Linked DNA regions of Notamacropus eugenii. The protein of the gene in region 1 purifies or fractionates together with the protein of each later gene. This does not show direct contact. Links are inferred from orthologs where the notes say so. Each region holds a gene or a part of one and is shown in the gene's direction. Other genes may lie near its edges. The genes, in order: PHLPP1 and USP1.

Evidence for each region.
Region 2: the proteins of PHLPP1 (region 1) and USP1 purify together in Homo sapiens (affinity purification with mass spectrometry; 6 studies listed by BioGRID and IntAct, counting the BioPlex papers as one, with this or other methods). This does not show direct contact. The link is inferred for Notamacropus eugenii from reciprocal best matches to the Homo sapiens genes PHLPP1 and USP1.

What each region holds. Positions count from the first base shown.
Region 1 is NC_092875.1:394,972,237-394,982,473, forward strand, and holds the start of PHLPP1 (PH domain leucine-rich repeat-containing protein phosphatase 1), read left to right. Parts: upstream 1-6,531; 5' UTR 6,532-6,771; coding exon 6,772-8,434; intron 8,435-10,237. UniProt on the Homo sapiens protein: Protein phosphatase involved in regulation of Akt and PKC signaling.
Region 2 is NC_092873.1:523,062,329-523,072,042, forward strand, and holds the start of USP1 (ubiquitin carboxyl-terminal hydrolase 1), read left to right. Parts: upstream 1-5,717; 5' UTR 5,718-5,842; intron 5,843-6,093; 5' UTR 6,094-6,115; coding exon 6,116-6,285; intron 6,286-6,440; coding exon 6,441-6,567; intron 6,568-6,659; coding exon 6,660-6,767; intron 6,768-7,793; coding exon 7,794-7,954; intron 7,955-8,827; coding exon 8,828-9,495; intron 9,496-9,714. UniProt on the Homo sapiens protein: Negative regulator of DNA damage repair which specifically deubiquitinates monoubiquitinated FANCD2. Also involved in PCNA-mediated translesion synthesis (TLS) by deubiquitinating monoubiquitinated PCNA.

The sequences.
Region 1 (10,237 bases):
AATATCTCCTATGTCTTTTCTTCACCATGCTAGAAATTCCCATTTCTTTCAATGATCCTTATATGATACGGACTTAAGGTTTCTCTGTCATCCTGGCTGCCCTCCTTTGGATGTTCTCCAGCTTATCAAATTTTTTTCCCTAACTGTGGTATACAGAACTGATCAAATATTTCAGATGGGATCCGAATAGGGCATAGTGCAAGTGGGCTCTCATTTCTTAATATTTGAAAGCTATGCCTTTCTGACTTCAGTCCAAAAGCACATTACATATTTTTTTGGCTGCCACATTACATTCTTGGCTCACACTGAGTCCACTAAAACTCTTAAGTCGTTTTTTAGATAAACTGTTAAGCATGCCTCTTCCTAGTAATTGTGAAGTTGATTTTTGTTTTGGATCCTGATTCTGTCAGACAGTATGTTTGCTATTCCAGCCAGCTTGGTGTTTGTCGGTAAATTTGATAAGCAAATATCTATTCATTTATCAAAGTCATTAATAAATATGCTAAACAATAATCCCTGAAGCACTCTAGTAGAGATTTCCTTCCAAAAAGACTTTGACTACTCTTTGAGACTGGCCATTCAATTAGTTCTAAGTCCATCTAATAGTATTATCTTGGAGGTTATATTTCTTCATTGTTTTTAGCAACTTCCTTGCATCTGCTCTTCCAAAGAACCCATCCTTATAACAAAGAAAACAGTTAAGGTAGAAAACCCCACTGACAAAGCAACTGGGTTTGACAATGTATGCAAAATTTCTTAACTTCAATATTTCTCCTCTAAGAGAGAAAGGATATGTGTCTCATTTTCAGTTTCTGGAGCCAAGACTAGTCATTGCATTAAATTCTGATATTTTTTAGTGTTGTTTTCTTTTACATTATTGTAATTATTGTGCATGAGAGGCAGAGAATACTGGTCTTGGAGTCAGGAAGACCTATGTTCAAATCTGACATACTACCTGGTGACCATGGGCAAATAACATGTCAGTTGTCCTGCAAACTCTTCAAGTACATAAGTTATATATATATATATATATATATATATATATATATATATATATATATATATATATATATATATATATATATATATATATATATATATATACAGAGGAATAGTTGCTCTGCATTGTTGGAGGAATGTCGTTGCTCTGCATTGTTGGAGGAATGTCTTCACTATGAGGGAGTTGCCCACAAAGATTGGAAACGTGAACCTAAACGTTAATGAAACAAACAAAAAAACTGCATACTGTTCTTCTATCTTTGCTTTCTCTGTTTGGCATAAGTTCACACAAGTCTTCCTACATTTCTCTGAATTCAGCTTACTTATAATTTCATACAGTTCATATGTTCCATTATAGTATATTGTTTAGTTATTCCCCAGGGGATGGGTATCATTTTGTCTATATTTTTTTGCTTCTACAAAAAATGTTGTTATATTTTTGTATACATAAATCTTTCTCTCATTGACCTCCTTGAATTATATATTCAGCAGTGGGGATCATTAGGTCAAAGAATATGAATAGTTTAGTAACTTTCTGTTCTTTGCATTTAATTTACTAATACGGTTAACAAACATTTTTTTTTCTTTTTTGTGAATCCCTACCTTGTGAAAGATGCTTTACTTATCCAGAACATGATATGGTACATGTTTAATGTCATTTTAAAGCCTAATTGTTTGTTGCCCTATTTAATTAGTCTTTTCTTTCTAAGAACGCTTCAAATGCCTCTTTTTTTTAAACTGAGCATTCATCTTTTTTCATTATCAGGTTCAGGTTTGCAGGAAATTTCACCATGGATTATATCTTGAATTGCTTTGCTCTTTGGAATATATTATTTCATTCCTTTCTGTGGTTTCTGATGGATGAAAATAGTCTTGGAAATTTGAAGTTTCTTTTCTTTATAATTGAAAGTCTTTTTTCCTGGTGCCTTACAGAATTTTTTGTTTCAGTAGAACTGTTAAATTTAATCACTATATATCTTGAAATCTGCAAGCTAAGGTTTGTTTTCTGAAGTGGCCTGTGGATTACTTTGATTGGCTCTTAGTTTTCTGTGTTCAAAAGTTCTGGACAGTTTCCTTGCCTTATGACCAGGGTTTTTTTGACCAGGGTTCTTCTGAGGTAATCTGTCTGTATGAAACTTTTTGCTTGCATGGGGATCATATTTTCTTTTAATATTATTGCTTTTTTGCTTTTCTCTTCCAGGTTGTCCTTTACTTCTGTGTATTTGCATTCCCAATCAGTAATCCCCCTTTTTGCTCTTTGCTGAGAATTACCACTATGGATTCAAGTTTTTATACTCTGCCATTATTTCTATTTTACAGGCCATAAAATCTGCTTTTAGAATCCTTATTTCTCTTTTAAACAATTCAGGAATAATCTCTTGTAGTTTTGTGTTCTCTTGGGAATTCACAGAGTCTTCTGCCTTACCAAGTATTATATTTTTTCATCATTTTCCTTTTTCTTGCAATATTGATTCATAGATGTGTGGACTGATTTAGCTAGTCCAGAGGCCATATTCTTTCTGTTATTAATAGATTTCCTGTTTATTTACTTGTTCCTTTTTTTCTCCTTGTCTTTTTTTCTGAGATTTTTATGGTTTCCCCTTTCCCCTCTTTTGATCACTTTCTGACTCCTTCCCCTTTGATGGCAGTTTGATGGGGGCTAGAGGTCAGAGCCATTGGAGCTTCCTCTCACGCTAGGCAATTCACATTTCACCAGCCTCAGTTTCTGCCTCATGTGATTTTTAGGAGGACAGAACCAGCCCCATCTGGATGGTAGATCATTTTACTTTGGTTTACTGGAATGCTACATATACGCCCCTCTTTTCCTCAGTGTTCTAGGTTGAGTACAATTGCCACACAGAGTGCTGTGTTGTCACGATTCTGTTCCAGCCAGAGTAAGCTCCTGCCTTTTGATTTTCCATGGTACTGGGAGGAAAAGAGGGAGCAGGTAATGTGTAGTTCTTCTACATGCCCGTGGGTAGGCTTATGCAGATTTGTCAGAGCATAGTGTGTGTGTTCATCCTTTGTTGTGAAGAAGACAAGAAGACCATGCCATCAGAGAAATGATGACAGGACTTGCACTTGAATTTGTTTGTTGAGTGAGGGAGGGCTGTGCAAGGTCACCAGCCTCACTTCTCCTCCAGAGCCATCTGAATCCAGTGACCAGATGTTCATCAGGATGACTGGAGATGACCCAGGATGAGGCAGTTGGGGTTAAGCAACTTGCCCAAGGTCACACAGCTAGTGAGTGTCAGGTATCTGAGGGGAGATTTGAACTCAGACCCTCCTAACTCCTGCACTGGTGCTCTACGCACTGCACTACCTAGCTGAGCACAGTAGGTGATAGGAAAAGGAATGGTGAAGATGAATAGGTTAGAAATTAGAATGAGAATTAGTTCCTTCTGCTATTCATCTGATTTTTCTATCATTAAGGTTCTTGGTATCTTAGACCTTGGAGATAAGTAAAATTGCTTTCTCTCTTGTGCCTAATGCCTATTTTGGGGAAGTTTGCCAGATTGTGAGGATCAGAGAAATGGATAACCTTCTAATTTGTTTAACTATGACTACTAACAATATTCCAGTTTGATCAATGATTAAGTCCATTAGGAAATAAATTGAGATTATCTTGGAAATTTCAAACTGTATTGCTAAATATTGTAATATTAAATACTAGCTCAGCTTCTAGCATTTCAAATGATTTTGTTATTGAAATTTTTATATTTTCTTTCCTTTCATCCTCTACAAAGAACAAAAGCAACTCCTATATACGAGGACAAAAAATATTCCCTTGTTTGCCGACAAACAGTATTATCTAAGCTCACAACAGTGAACAAAGAAAAACTCCACAGGCAATAGGAACCCGGTGAGCAATGAGATCTTTCCTGGAAAGAAATGTTTTGTGTATAAGTATCTTCAGAAGAGAAAAGACAGAGATGATAAAATTAAAAACAAAAACAAACTTCTAACAAGGATGGGTAAAGAGAGGAACTAGAGACAAGAGCGGATATAGTTCAGTAATTTCTTATAGTGGTCTCAAATAAACTGTTGAGTACTCCAGAAGCTAGAAGTGATACAAAGCAGTAGTTTATGATTAAAAATAAAGTTCCAAAGTAGTGGGTTGACCCTTAAACTCTAGAAATCAGAAATATAAGATTAATATGAGAAATTTCTTTCCTTTGTGCAAGGAAGATTGGGAAGTGTGCTGAGTGACTAATGTAAGGAGGAAAGGACAAGACTGAAATTTAACATGGATCATAGAGCCTTTTCTAAAATAATTCCAGTAGATCTGTGATTTCATTGGAAAGGGCATTCCCTCTAGCCATGCAGATTGTAACCCATGCATGTCTGCTTATCCTGTGGGATTCTTTCCTATCTCCTCCATTAAGTTCTGGGAGAGGGTGTTCACCTGGGGTGCTGGAGGCCTTCCTCAATTTCTCTTTACCCCATTGCTAGGATTCTAGAAGAGCATATGGTCTAGGCCTCATCACCTTTATTAAAATTTCCTTGATAACATCCTTGAATTCTCTGAAATTCCTTCCTTTGTTATGTATCGTAGCCTGCTTATATTTTCTCTGTAACTCTCCATTGCTCTCTGTGTGATATTTATTTTTAGTTCTTTGGAGATAGCAGTAGTTCCATGACTTCAGTACTTCTAACCCTTTCATAAGAATCCTTCCTGACCAAGTTTTTTCCGAGTCTCACTCAAAGTCTTCATCTGCAAAAAAAAAAAAAGCTGTTGGTCTAAGCCAGAAGGTTTATTAAAAATTATTGTTATTTGTTGTTTAGTTGCGTCTGACTCTTCAGGACTCCATTCAGGGATTTTTGGGGAAAGATACTGAAGTGGTTCCCCATTTCTTTCTCCAACTTATTTTACAGATGAGCAACTGAGGCAAACTGGGTGAAGTGACTTGCCCAGGGTCACATAACTAGTAAGTGTCTGAGGCCAGATTTTAATTCAGGAAGATGAGTCTTTCTGACTTCAGACCCGGCACTCTACCCATTGTACCCAAATTATTGAGAACCCCTCCCAAAAAAGTTTTTATGTGGTTTTGTCAGTATCTATTGATATTTACCATATTAGAAATGAACATACCCTATCATTATGGAAAGTTTAGGCCTATACTTTGAGAGTTCCTGGTCTGGGTGTACTTCAATATATCCTCTAATGTATCCTCAAAATCCTATTATTCTGGCCCAGAGAAAAGGATTTGATAGTCCACACTCTCCCTTTAAATAGGGTTTCTTGGGCAGGTCATGGGAAAGCAAATCACTGATTGAGAGCTAGCAGGGACCTTCTACATGATCTGCATCATTCTGTCAGCTCCTCCTGTCCTGCGCATGATGGATCGATTGTCTGCATTCCTAGCATCTTGCACAGGGCCTGGGACGGAGAAGGTGCTTAATAAACTCTTTGATTGATTGGCTGTATCTAGCCCCCGCCTTCAATTTCCTGCGGCTCCCTGGTCTCTGTCTTTGTGACCCGATGGTCTCTACTGTCGGGGGTTTTCTTGGCAAGGGTACCGGGGTGGTTTGCCCTTTCCTTCTCCAGCGGATATGACTTGCCCGGGGTCACGCAGCTAGTCGGCGTCTGCATCTGGATTTGAACCCCGGTCTTCCTGACTCCAGGCCCAGTGCTCTGTCTATGGAGCCTCCTTTCCCGGCACAGATAAGGAATCTGAGGGATACTCCCCGGAGGTGACCTGCCCAAGGTCAAGGGTCTTACAGATGCGGTGTTCGGATGCAAACCCGGTTCAGCCTCCAGTGCACAAAGATGCGATTCCCCGCCCAAAGCTGAAGGAGTATGGGGTGGGTAGTAAGTGGGAGGAAGTGAGGGAGGAGAAGGGTGTGAAGGGCCCACACACCCACGGAGGCACTGGATCAAGGTGGAAAGGTACCTGCGGCTAAGTGTCCTTAATGGTCACCAGGCAGCGGGCAGCAACCAGGGGCAGACCCAAAGCACGCCCCTCCCAGCCCCCTGCCCAACAGTAGAGGGCACCGTTCCCATGCCACACAGCCCAGCTCCAGGGCTAGAGAGGGTGGGCTGGTGCGAAAGGTCCGCCGGGAATCGTAGTCTTTCGGCTTCCACTTGCGGGGAGTTTCCTATTCACTCAGAACTCTATTTCCCATGATGCTGCGCGTAGCTTCGTGGTCTCCATTTCCCACCCTCCATCCTCCTCCTCCTTTTCCCACCTGGCGGCCTCCTCCGGAGCTGCGGCGGAGAGAAACCTCCCAGGAAACAGCCCCTGTACGCACGCGTCACGTTTGTTTACCCTGAAGCCCCACCTCCCTCACGGTCTCTTCGGGGCCCTCCCCGTGCCCCGCCCCATCTCGCCGTGGAATGCCGTCACGCCAACGATGCATATTCATGACCCGGCACGGTGCTCCCCTCCCCTCGCTCCCTCCCGCCTTCCACCCGGCCCAGACCCCAGCTTCATTAATATTCAATGAGCCCGTCTCCAGGACTGCTGGTTCGCCCGGGAAGGTGGGGGGAGGGGGCGTGGCTAGAGGCCTGGGCGCCCGAGTCCGGGGCGGGGAGGAGGAGGAGGCGGAGGCGGTGAGGCGGGCGAGCGGGATGGAACCCCGAGACACCGACGGAATGCTCCGAATTGCCACATAATCCCCTGGAACGGCAGCCCCGAACGCCATTGGCTTCTCCTTCCCGGTTCCTCCTCCTCCTCCGCCGCCGCCGCCCTCTCCCACCTTCGCTTCACCTCCTCCCGCTCCCTTCTCCTGGCTCCGGAGCTGGGGGGGGAGACGCACAGCTCCACTGCAATGGAGCCCGCCGCCGCGGCCACGGTGCAGCGACTCCCAGAGACCAGCAGGGAGGACCGGGCTCCGGCTCTGGCGGCGGCGGCGGGGGGCGGCGGCCGGAGCCCAGGCAGCCCCCTGCCCTCGGGGACCCCGACCATGCAGTTCCTCCCGGGCGGTGGGGCCGGGGAGGAGGCCCCCGCCGGGCCGCTGCCGGGCAAAGCCGGGGGCACCGTGCGGAGGAGGAGGAGAGGGGCGCCCCTGCTCGCGGCCAACGGGGCTCCCCCGGCCCCCGGGGCGGGCAGCGGCGCCAACTCCCTGCTCCTCCGGAGGGGGCGGCTGAAGAGGAATCTGTCCGCCGCCGCCACCTCGTCCTCCTCCTCCAATTCCTCGGCCGCCGCCGCCGCCTCCCACTCCTCCAGCGCTGCCAGCCTGGCCGCCTCCGGCTCGGCCTCGGCGTCGCTGTGCACCCGGAGCCTGGACAGGAAGACGCTGCTGCTGAAGCATCGGCAGATGATGCAGCTGCAGCCGTCCGACCGCGACTGGGTGAGGCACCAGCTGCAGCGGGGCTGCGTGCACGTCTTCGACCGCCACATGGCCTCGACTTACCTGCGCCCGGTGCTCTGCACGCTGGACACCACGGCCGGAGAGGTGGCGGCCCGCCTGCTGCAGCTGGGGCACAAAGGCGGCGCCGGCGGCGTGGTCATGAAGGTTGTGGGTCGGGGGCCCTCGCAGCCGCACTGGCTGGGACCTGCCTCGGACGCCCCGACGGCCCGCCGCGGGGGCGTCCCCTCCGGCGCTTGCGAGAGGCAGGTGGCCCGGGGCCCCGAATTGACAGCGCCGGACGAGGAGCCCGGGGAGCGGCCGCCGAGGAAGAACGGGCTGGGGGAGCTCGTCGAGCCCGCCGTCGGGGGGAAGCCGCGCACGCCCCCGGGGGATCTGCCGCTCCGGAGCGACGCGGGGAGATTTGTGGGGTGCCTGACCCACGGCAGCCCGGCGCCTTCGGACTTAAGCCCGGGGGATGTGTACGCAGGGGTCCCGGGCTCCCTGCTGGGTGACCTGCGGCCGGTGGACTGCGTGGTGGGAGGCCCGGCCTCGGACACCGAGAGTTTCAGCCTGAGCCCCAGCGCCGAGAGCGTGTCGGACCGACTGGACCCCTACAGCAGCGGGGGGGGCGGGGGCAGCTCCTCGTCGGAGGAGCTGGAGGCCGATTCCACCCTTGCCCCTGTGCCAGCCCCGACGCCCACGGAGGGGTCGGGCCTCGCCCTTCCCCCGGGCTGCTCGGCTCCGTCTCTGGCGGGCGGGCCGGTGGCGGAGAAGCCCGGCGATTTCCCGCCACTCCATCCTTCTTCACTTGCTGGCCCAGCGCAGTCACCACCGAAAACCCCGAAGGGGGTGGACAGCCGCGGTGGGGTCGCCCAGGACGGGCCTCTGGAGAAGGCGCCCGGAGGAGTTGGTGTCCCCGCTCCGTCGCCGCCTGGGCACGGAGGAGCCGCGGACAAGACCGTCCCGATGCCCACCTTGTACGTGCAGTTTCACGGAGAGACGACCCGTCGGCTGGAGGCACACGAGAAGCCCCTGCAGATTCAAAATGACTACCTCTTCCAGCTGGGATTTAGGGAGCTGTGGAGGGTGCAGGAGGAGGGCATGGATTCGGAGATCGGGTGCCTCATCCGCTTCTATGCAGGTAAGACCAGAACCCTGTTCCTCGAGGTCGTCTACCCCAAGACACCATCCCCTTGGTATTGAGCGGAGAAGAAAGTGTTTTCACCCTTCTCTTGAGTGTGTCAACTTATCCAAGTAAACATAAGACCTCCTACATGTTTCCATCCGTTGCTTCTTCAAAACTGTTTAATCTTAAAATGAAAAATTTCCTAATCTTTAAGATTTTAGTCAAAGTCCTGAGGGTGAGGATGGTGGTGGTGGCTTAATCCCAGAAGTAAAGTGTGTTACCTTGGATAACCGTACTGAGCATATTTAAGGTTGCTCACCCTGGAGACCCTTCCTTCTTAGTTGGACTATGGATATGAGACAGTTTTTGATTTCAAGAGACTCCTCTGTCATGCATGATTTTTATTTTATAGAAAATAATGGCAAAAATGTATGGGAGCTCATTTTTACTCTACTCAACTGTGTTCATAACAACCCTAAGAAACCTGAGTGCCCTTGCTTTGCTCCTGACATTTGATTTTCTTTTCCTGATCACCTTTTGTTGACACATTCTTCAATGTTTTCCCTCACTTTCTTCCTTGTGCTACAATTTCAGGTTTCATCCTGATGTTTAAAATGATTACTCCAGCTGCCTCTTCTTGTTTTGTTACTTCTTGGTGGTTTTAATTCAGAGAAGAACTGACCATTGAAATCCTCCACTGTGACTTAGCATAGATGCTGGTCATTTGTTAGTAGCCAGGTCATATTTGAATCACAAGAAGGTATGAACAGCATGCTTACCTAGTCCTTTTTTCAGGTTTGATCTGAAGCCCCTTCTGTCTTCTGCAGTCCCAGGTTGACTGGGGTTGTCTTTGCAGCTAAGAGCTTGGGGAGATGCCGACTTTTGGAAGGGATGAACACAACATTCTAGTTGACATTTTTGTGGTTTATATGTAAACCATCTACATCCTTACTTTTCTCTAGTCTGAGGGGTTTTTTTTTAATGAGAAGTATGGCATGTCCTAGCTAAAGCATAAGCGATTTCCTACCAACTTTCCAGTATTTTGACAGGAACAGAATAACAAATGTATATGCTTATCCCAAATGTGTGATGTTCTATAAATTCTAGCTCTCCTCTTATTCTTATATTGCTAAATATTAAAATTTGCAAGAATTTTTATGTCCCCAATTGGTTTTTGTTGGTACTGAGTTTTGATCTGTTGGCAAAAAGTTTATTCCTATATATAGAGATAAAATTGGCCAGACTATAGAGATGTTCCTGCATTGAGTTTCATTCAAGTTTTTCTAAAATTATTCATTGCTTCTCTTAGATTAGGAAAATACGGCCAATGTCTTAATTGAATGAAGTTTATTTCAAAAGTGATAAATGTAATGAAGTAAAATGTTCAACTTTTGAAATTCTTTACAGGTTAGAAACTGGGTGATTTTTTTTTCTTCACTCCGGTAGTTCCTTGTCTTTTTCCTGTCTTTAATAGAATTTGTAAAATATTATTACTTTATCAAAGCATTAAACATTACTATTGTAGCAAAAACATGTCTAATGTAACTCTAGAGTGTAGGTCAGTTTCATGATCAAAGTAAATATAATCAGCAAATGTCTCAAAATCAAAAGGGATATTTTGTATTTTTAATTTTGCCAGTGTTCCATTTAGCATCACTGCTTTGTCAAAATATTGCAAAGATTTCACATTACTTTTTCCTCTTTGAAAATATGAAAGCTAATTAATACTGTTAAACACTGATGTCACTACCCTACATCAAAACATGAATTTGGAGCCAGGTTCAGATAAAGAACTTGTCAGATTTTTTTATAAATCTT
Region 2 (9,714 bases), on another chromosome or scaffold:
ACCGAGGAAGCCAATGTTCGGAAAGATTAAAGGTTTTACTTAGGGTCACACAGCTAGTAACTGAGATGGGGGTGAGGGGAGGTGAGGGGAGGGTGAGACTGGCCAGTAAACTCAGTCCTTATATCATTAGCTTTTATTAAGACCATCTTTTCTGTTTAGTAAAGACACTGTCTTTTGCTGCAGAACACCGTCACAATTAAACCACTTTCAAGGCAATTTACAGATGGGTTGTGTTTTGAAGTTTTCGCTATGTTTTGTTCTTATGGAATCATATTTCTGCAGCATAGTAATAGATGGCAGTTTTACAGTGCAAAGTACTATACAAAATATTACACCTTCTAATCTTGAACAACAATATTGAAAAGTGGGTGCCCTTATGCCCTTTTATAGAAGAGGAAAATGAGGCAGATACAGGTTAAATGACTTGCCCAAGGCTACTGAACTAGTAAACTGTCTGAGAGATTTGAGCTCCCATCTTTCTGATTCCAGGTCTAGGACTCCATCCACTGTACCACCCAGCTGCCTAGAGCTGCATATGGAGAAAATTTAGAAATAAACCTTTTCCCAAACTGTCATCCGTTTCATTGCACCTTTTAAATGGTCTTTCACCAAAATTAGAACGTCAATCAGTAAGTAGCTCGATGTCATTTTGGTTACAGCATGGTTCTCCTCTAGACAGGTAAGCCTGTTTGCTTTCATCCAAGGTTTGCAGTTGGTGTTGGCGGTGTTGTTCAGGTAAGCAGGGTTGTCTGTGACTCACTTTTAATTGATAGCCAAACAATTCCTTTTCTCCAGGCATGCCCTGGGCTCTTCCCCTCTGAGCACAATGAAATAAAGTTTCTTCCCTCTCAATTTTTGAAGACTTCACATAGCATGGAGATTACTTATTCCTTAAATATTGTCTACACTGAAACATGCTTTTTGTAATTTATTATTTTTGGGGGGTGTGTTTTCTTTTGCAACATGGCTAATATGGAAATGCATTTTACATGACTTCACATGTATAATCAGTAACATACTGCTTTTCTCTTCAAAGGGTGGGTGAGGGGCAGTAGTGAGGGACAAAATTTGGAACTCAAAATTTAAAAAAATTTTAAACATGTAATAAGGAAATATTTAACAAAGTGAAAAATGTATTTAATAAATAAATGTCTATGATTTACTGGTGTCTTTTCCTATGGAATTTATCATTTATCCAATTTCTCTTTCTGAGACGGAGTTGATTAGGTTAACTAGTTTGTTGATTTTTTTTAAATCAATTCAGGTATTTTAAATTGCTGTAGCTATCCATCCATTTTATTCAAATATTGTTTGTTGCCATAAAACTGTGTGTAAGTTTTTGATCACTACTTCCTCTCTTTCCATTCTGATTTTCCCCTTCTTGTTTTTGATTTTCACTAGCAATTTTATTGATCTTTCAAAAAACTACTTTGTTTTTGTGGAAGCACGAAGTGCTAGTCAAATAAGTGTTTATTAGATACCCTACTATAAACCAGGCACTGTACTAAGCTTTGAGAGTATTTTGAGATACCTCCCTGTCCTCAAGGAACTTATAGTGTAACGGGGGTAGGTGGGTAAAACACATAAAAATGCTGAAAAAGGGGAAAGTGGAGAGAGGTACCCAATGAAAGGGCATGGTAGAGAATTCAGAGAAGTCCCAAAGTAGCACAACAGAAGAGAAATGAGATGTCTGAGCTGGAGTTCTCTCCTTAAATGAAGATTTGGAATGCATAACCCCATTCTTCCATCAGAGAAGTGGAACGTAGCAAAGGGGTGGAGGTCTAAGACTGATGAGATTTTACAGAATGATGACATTATCTCAATAATGAGCTTTCTGGGGCACAGAATCTGTCTGTCAGGGAAGACCCAAAGTAGTGCAGCCAGGTGACTTCTCTTTAGATGCTATTTAAAAAAAAATTTCCCCAATTATCAAGCATTTATTTTTTCTCTTTCCTACCTCCTGTCCTTTTCACCTAACCCCCCCTGGAAAAAAAGAAAAACAAAAGCCCTGTAATAGATATGTATAGCAAAATTCCCATGCTGGCTATTTCTGTGGAGGTAGACGGCATGTGCTCTCCTAAGTCCTTCCTAGTTGACCTAAATCTTCATATTACTCAGAACAGCCCGGTCCTTCCCAGTTACTCTTCAAACAACCTACGCAAGGTTCTCTCGGTTCTGCTCATTCCACCCTGCCTTATTTCATCCAAGCCTTTCCCAGTTCTTCTAAACCACCTTCTTTGTCATTTCTTAGAGCACAGCAGTTCTCCATCACAATCATGAGCCAGAACTCACTCGGCCATCCCTCAACGGACGGCCATCCCTTCCATTTCCAGTTCGTGACCTCCACAAAAAGAGCAGCTCTAAGTACTTTAGAACAGGTAGGCTCTTTTCCTTTTTCCCTGATTATCTTGGGAAACAGACCTAATAGTGGTATTGCTGAGTCCAAGGGTACTCATGTTTTTCTAACTCTTTGAACATGATTTCAGTTGGATCAGTTCACAGTTCCACCAACAGTGTATTAGTATCCCAACTTTCTCACATCCCCTCCAATATTTGTCATTTTCCCTATCATTTTAGCTGTGTGTGGGACCTTTGAATATAGTTTCCTTGCTTATCTAATTAAATCTGTTTTAGCTTTGAGATCATGCTTTTTTTTTTTGACATCCGCTAAAGCATAATAAATTCTACTCTAGCCATTTATTTTTACTCTATGTATATCTTCCGTTTTAAAACGTGTTTTTTAGGAACATTTTGTCAGGTTCTAGTTTTTCAACCTTTCTGCTGCTTCTGTTTTAGGGGTGAGTTCATCTTATTCACACTCAAAATTAGTTACTAGTTGTGTATTTCTTTCCATTCTATTTCCCCCAGTTTAGCCTTTTCTCCCCTTTTTTACCCTATCCCTCCTCACCAGTCTAGTTCACTTCTGACCATGGCCTCCCTAACCCACACACCCTTCCAAGAGTCCCCCCCACCTTGCTTCATTCCCATGCCCTCTTGTTCCTGTGTAAATCAAGACTTTCATACCCAATTAGATGTAGTTATTCCCTCTTTAACCCAGTCCTGATGAGAATAAGGCTCCCACGCTACATACCTTCCACCCCATTCTCCCCTCCATTGTAAAAGTTCTTCTGTTCATGCCTTTTGGGTATAAGATAATTTGTTCCATTTTACCTCTCCCTATCCAATTTGATTTTTTTAGCATCATCCCACCATAATCAACTCAAACCCAAGCTCTCTATGTATCCTTGTTCTAACTAATCTAATAATAACATCCTTAAGAATTACAAATATAATTTTCCCATCTAAGATGGTTAAATGGCTTAACCTTATTAAATCTCTTATCATGAATCTTTCATGTTTGTTTCTCTTGATTCTTGTATTTGAAAGTCAAATTTTTTGTTCGGTTCTGGTCCTTTCCTCAAAAATGCCTATAATATATAATGATATGTAATAATATTATAATACATATGAATGTCTAGACTTTTTTTATCATGACTTTTAGGTAGCCCCAAAATCCTGATATTATTTCCTCTCTATTTGTTTCCAGGTCAGTTATTCTTGTAATGATATTTCACATTCTCTTCCATTTTTTCATTCTTTTGATTTTATTATTTCTTGACGTCTTATGAATTTCATTCGCTTCCTCTTGCCCAGTTCAAATTTTTAAGGAGTTCTCTTCTGAAGTAAGTTTCTGGGTATTTTCCAGTTCACAGCTTTCTTGCATCACTTACTGCTTTCCCCTAATCTCCTCTACTTCTCTTACGGTTGTTAAGGTTCTTCCCAAGCTCTTCCAGAATTCCTTTTCCCACTTGTGACCACTTGGCATTTGTCTTTGAAGCTTCACAAGTGGCTGTGATTTCCTTGTCTCATTTGGGTCGGAACCCCCATCTCCATCACCATACTAACCATTTAGGGGCAGGTTCTTTTTCTGCAGTTTACTCATTTTAAAAGCATCCCCCTTCTTGGCTGTTAACTTTGTCTTCGGTTTCTCGGTTCCCAACGTGTGGGAGAGAGGGCTGAGAAGGGGGTATCCTCCCAGGGATCGCCCCTCTGGGCACAGCCCTTCCCGGGTGGGGCACCGGTGCATGGTTGGGGCAGCTGTGACTCAGGCAAAGAGATTCTGCTGCCAGGGGTTTGCCCCAAGGACATCGCCGATCAAAACACAGCAGCGCTTCGTGGGCTCCCAAAGAGCCCCCAGTGGCTGCCCATCAAGTGGGGAGTGGTGGAGGTGATGGCCCTGAGGAAGTGACCGCCCTGGGGAGGTGACAGTCCTGAGGAGGTGACCGCCCTGGGCAGGTGACCATCCTGCGGGGGTGACCCGTCGCTGGTGTGGAACGTGACCGGACACACACAGAGCCCGCGGTGCATGACCCGGAGCAGCACCGACAGCGGGCACTGCCTGGCAGTCCTCGCCCCTCCCCGTGCCAGCGGCCCGGGCAGGGGTTCTCAGGCGTCCTTTCCTCTGTGGCGGGGCTGCTCCGGGGAGCCTAGCCCAGGTAGACATAAAAGATCGGGATGGCGAAGGGCCCGGGGCACGCCGCGGTCCAAACGCGGCTCTGCCCCACGAGGCGCGCTAGGTAATCAGCACTGGGGGTCCTTCTCCCCCTCCACCCAGCGCAGACCGGGCACAAGGGCGGCCCGAGGCTGGGGGCCGGCGCGGCACGCTCGGCCTAAAGATGACCGCCCATGACAGAAAGAAAGCGCAGCCGGGTCAGGACCGCTAACCTGCGGAAGAAGGGAGAGGCGGAAGTCGGGGCGGAGGTCCCTGCTAGAGGGAGACGGGAAGGGAGAAGCCGGAACTGCCGAGAAGAGCTCCGGATGCCCCGCCCACTTCCGCTCTCGTCCAGGCCAGGCCCCGCCCCCGCTCGGCCACCGTCCTTCGGGGGCGCGCGGATCCGCCGCCGTTTTATTTAAAATCTGGTTTCCCCGGTAACGGAGGGGAGCTAGGAATGGGACGCCAGGGCCAACGTTCCCTCTCTCCCTCCCCTCCCCTGGTCCAAGCCTCATCGCTCAGAGCGAGGCAATCCTAGCTCGCGCCCACCGGGAGCCACCGCCCCCGGAACCCACTCCCAGCGCAAAGCGCGGAGCGAGAACGCGAGGGAGAGGGGCGCGCGGCGTCTTTGGGATGTTTCCCCGCCGTGATTGGTGCAGGCCGTGCCGCACCGCCCTCGCTCCCGCCCACCACCTCTCCGATTGGCTGCCCGGGAACGCGCCGGAACTCGAGTTCCGTCGCGGATTGGCCGGTTCGAGTAATTGGCGGCAGCCCTCCTCCGTCGGGGAGCTCCTGCCCCGCCTCCCCGCGCTCTGGGCCGTCTCCCGACCCGTACGTTTCGCTTTCGTCCCGCGCGCTCAGGGCTGGTGGGGGCGGGGAGAGCGAGCGCCCGCGAGAGCTTCGGCGGCTCGATCCCGGCGGCCAGGCCTCGGCCGGCACGCGCGCGCCCAGCGAGGACCCCGCGAGCTGCCCGCGCCGCCGCCTGCGCCCTTCGAAACCGCACAGCCGCCCGTTAGGTGCCCGGGGGCAGCCGCCGTTCGAGCCGGCCCCGGAGCCTGGGCGCGTCGCGGGGACTAGCGGCGGCGGCAGCGCTGGGCTCGGCCTGCCGGGCCCGAGGCCGCGGAGCCCGCCCCGGCGTTTCCGAGCGGCGCCTGGCAGGGTCGCGGCGCCCGGCGCGGGGGTCCTGGCGCCGCGGAAAACGCGCCAAGCCTGCGCCGGCGGCGGCCGCGTCCGGACCCCGCCGAGCCTCCCGAGCCCCGGAGCGCCCCCTCCGCCCCGCCCGGGGCCCCGGACCGCCGCCCGGCCCCGCCCCGGGGATGGAGCCGCGCCGGCGGCCGCTGCCATGAGCCAGTAAGCGCGCGGGCCCCGCGGGGAAACTGAGGCTGGCGGCCCGCCCTGCCCCGCGGAGGAGGGCGCGGGTGGAGACGGGCGGCCCTCCCCCCAGCCCCGTACGCCCGGGGGTAGGCCGGGGGTCCGGGGGAGGGTCGGGGGGGGGCTCCGGGCAGGTGGGGGCGTTGCCGGGGAGCGCTCGCGCCCACGCCCCGCCCCCAGCGGGGGGGGGGGTCCCGCGCGCGGGGTCGTGACCTGTGCGCGCCCGGCAGGTGCCGCGGGTGACGGGGAGAGATGCCCGGGGTGGTGCCGAGCGAGAGCCAGGGCCCGGCGGCCCGGGGGAGCCCCAAGAAGAGCCGCCTGTCCCTCAAGTTCTTCCAGAGGAAGGAGACGAAGCGCGCCCTGGACTTCGCGGACGCGCAGGACGAGGAGGAGCGGGACGGGGACGGCGCGGGCCCGGACGTGTGCGTGTGCGCGTGCGCGTGCACGCGGGGGGACCCCGGGAGGGACGGGAGACCCCCGGGAGGGGCACCGACTCTGGGGGAGGGACGGGGGGATCCCCGGGGAGGGGGAGGGGCACGGACCCCCGGGGCTCATCCGCGCGCTCCGCCCTCCCCAGGGACCAGGTGGTGCCCGCGGCCGCCGCCCAGCCCTCGCCCCTCGGCTGCGAGAAGCGGGAGAATCTGCTGCCCTTCGTGGGGCTCAACAACCTGGGCAACACCTGCTACCTGAACAGCGTCCTGCAGGTGAGGGGGCGGGGCCTCCGGGTGAGGGGCGGGGCGTGGGCGGGGCGTCCAGCGAGGGGCGGGGCCCGCGCCTGACGCCGCCCTCTCCGCAGGTGCTGTACTTCTGTCCTGGGTTTAAAACTGGAGTCAAACACCTGTTCAACGTCATTACGAGGAAGAGGGAGAGCCTGAAGGAGGAGGCCGATGCCAAGGCGGACAAGGTGAGGGGCCGGTGCGGCCGCCGGGACCTGGGCTGGGTCACCCCGGAGCCTTCCCCGGGAGTGCCGGGTTCTCTGCCGAAGCCTGGCTTCCTTTGGGGGTCTGCGGTTCTGTCTGAAGCGGTGCTGAGCCCCTGCGGTGCGGGCCCCCTGCGGAGACAGCAGGACCGGCTTGTTACCTGGAGTCCCTCTCTTACGGGGGAAGACAAGCCAGAGGCTGTGTGCCCTCGGGGGTGCATCGTCTGGCACCGCAGGAAAGCCTGGAATGACCAGCTTTGAGGTGGAGTCCTTCCTAATGTCCCGGACAGGGCTCATCTTGCCTCCACGATTAAATCTTAGGGGAGGTTAGGGCAAGGCCTGCTTCCTTCTCACACCTGTCACACTTGTCACAAACAAGCAGCTTCACTGATCTCTGTGTCTGGCTCTCAAAATAGAATTGCCAATTTAGACTGGCATAGGTTGTTCATTGTTGAGGTTAACCATAGAATTTAAGATCCAAGTGCCTTGGGCATTGTGTCCAGGGAAAGGGTGAGACATCCAACTTGATGGGCAATTTCTGAGACTCTCCGTTAACAGGCGTAGAAGTGATGTGTAAAATTGGGCAGTTTAATCTGTATTCAAACGAAATGCTGATGTTCCAGCTAATAAGGAAACATTTGAGTTGGTTTGGGAATAAGGAAGTGCAGGTTATTTAGAGGGTAGGCTTGTGTGGTCTTCCTGGCTCTGGCACCTGCCATGTGGACAATTTGAGTGAGCATCAAGACAGGAGCCTGCTAAAGCTTTCTGTCGGAAGCAAAAAGTTGTTTAGCCATATAGAAAAGCTTCAAGTTGTCTTTGAAGTAAAAGGTAAAATGAATTCCCTTTACTCAAGCTAAATTTTTATTTTGGCATGTGCAGGTAGCAAGAGATTGCTTCTGGAAACTACTCTTAGATGTTATTTTTTATAGTATGTAGAAAGGAATGAAGAAAAGGGGAAAATCCTTGTATTCATAGATATCAGATTGGTTTATTTACGTTTCTTTCTTGCAGGGAAATTGCAAAGAAGACAGCCTGGCAAGCTACGAATTAATATGCAGCTTACAGTCTTTAATAATTTCAGTGGAACAACTTCAGGCCAATTTTCTTTTGAACCCAGAGAAATACACTGATGAACTTGCTACTCAGCCACGGCGGCTGCTTAACACTCTGAGGTAAAGCCTAGAGTGAAATTTAAATGTTTTCTCCAAACTGGTGAGCACAGTGCAGCAGAACATTGATGTCAGAGCTGCGGTGTGTATGTTGTACGTGTTATATAAGTTCAGCCTTTTAAACATTGTCTGTGCAAACCCCACCCACTGCCACAGCAAGAAGCAGTTTAAATTGAGTCTAGGACTCTCTGGGGAGCTAGGTGGTGCGGTGGATAGAGTGCTGGGCCTGGGGTCAGGAAGACTTGTCTTTTCTGAGTTCAGATATGGCCTAAGATACTTACTATCTGTGTAACTCTGGGCAAGTCATTTTACACAGTTCGCCTCAGTTTCCTCATCTGTGAAGGAGTTGGAGAATGAAATGCAAACCACTCCATTGTCTCTGCCAAGGTTAAAAACCCCCCAAATCACAGAAATTTATACATGACTAAAATGACCAAATAACAGTTAATTGCTAGGTTCTTTTTGTTTATTGAATCATTTTTTGAAATTTTGAAAAGCATCAACTTTGGCTGCATGCTTCCTGAACAGGCGAAGGAGAAAAACTGGAGGTTCGGTGCATTTGTATACTGATTAAAAGAGAAAGGCCCTTATTGTTAAATTCTAATCTATTTCCTAGTGAGCGGTTCTTGGTCTTGACTCACCTGCTTTTTTGCTGGTTTGTTTGGTATTTGGGTATTTTGGTTGTGTTTTCTGGGGCAAGGGGAGAGATGTTGATTTTGGTCATTAAAAGGAGATGCACTATGTGGGAAGGAGGGGGGGTCTTATTTAAGAATATTGTCAATGTCACTGGCTAATGGCGCTATTTTAAATGGAAAGAATGAAGTTGCGTGTTAGAGAACAGTGGCAGTCATTTGAGTGACAGCTTGTTCTTTGCAGGGAGCTGAACCCCATGTATGAAGGCTACCTGCAACATGATGCTCAGGAGGTACTGCAGTGCATCTTGGGAAACATTCAGGAGACATGCCAGCTCCTGAAGAAGGAAGAGCTGAGAAGCGCGCCAGCAGAAGCATCACCTCCCCCTCCTCCTCCCAAAGAAGGTAGTGAAACAAACACCATTGAGGATGACGGAGAAGGGAAAGACAGGTTCCTGAAGGGAAATGGGAAAAGGAAAAGTGACAGCGAAGTGGGAAACCCCAAGAAGAAGTCTAAGCTGTCCAAGGAGCCCACGGCAGCCGAAGAAAACCAGAGGCAGACGCGGTCCAAGAGAAAAGCTGCTGGGGACGCTCGCTTGGAAAGTTCTCCTGAAACGATGCCTAAAAGTGCTGCTGATGGAGATAGTGCCCGGCCGAACCACAAGAAATCAAGGCTCAAAGTAAACTGGCTGAAGCCTGCTACCAAACAGCCCAGCATCCTTTCCAAGTTCTGCAGTCTGGGGAAAATCACCACACATTCAGGACCCAAAGGGCCTTTGAAAGAAACTGATGGCAGTTGTGAGGAGGACTTGAAAAGGGAAACCAAGGGCACCTTGAAAGATGACTCTGGGGAGCCTGCACCCCCAGAGAACAGTGTGGAAGACAAAGAAATGCAGTCTTTGAGAAACAAAGGTCAGTACTGATGCCTTCCCAGAATCCACCAGAAGCAGAGTGGAGCTTGACCCTCCTTTGTCGGGCTCAGCCCCAGGCACTTGGGGTAGGGGGAGTACTCTGGGGTGGGGGAGTGTTTTAAGGTGGGAAGATTTGGAGTCAGTGTTTAAAGGCAGCAGCAGAGTCAGCACCATAGACTTCTGTCTTTTGACTATTTATCTAGGCCTCTCATTAACAGTT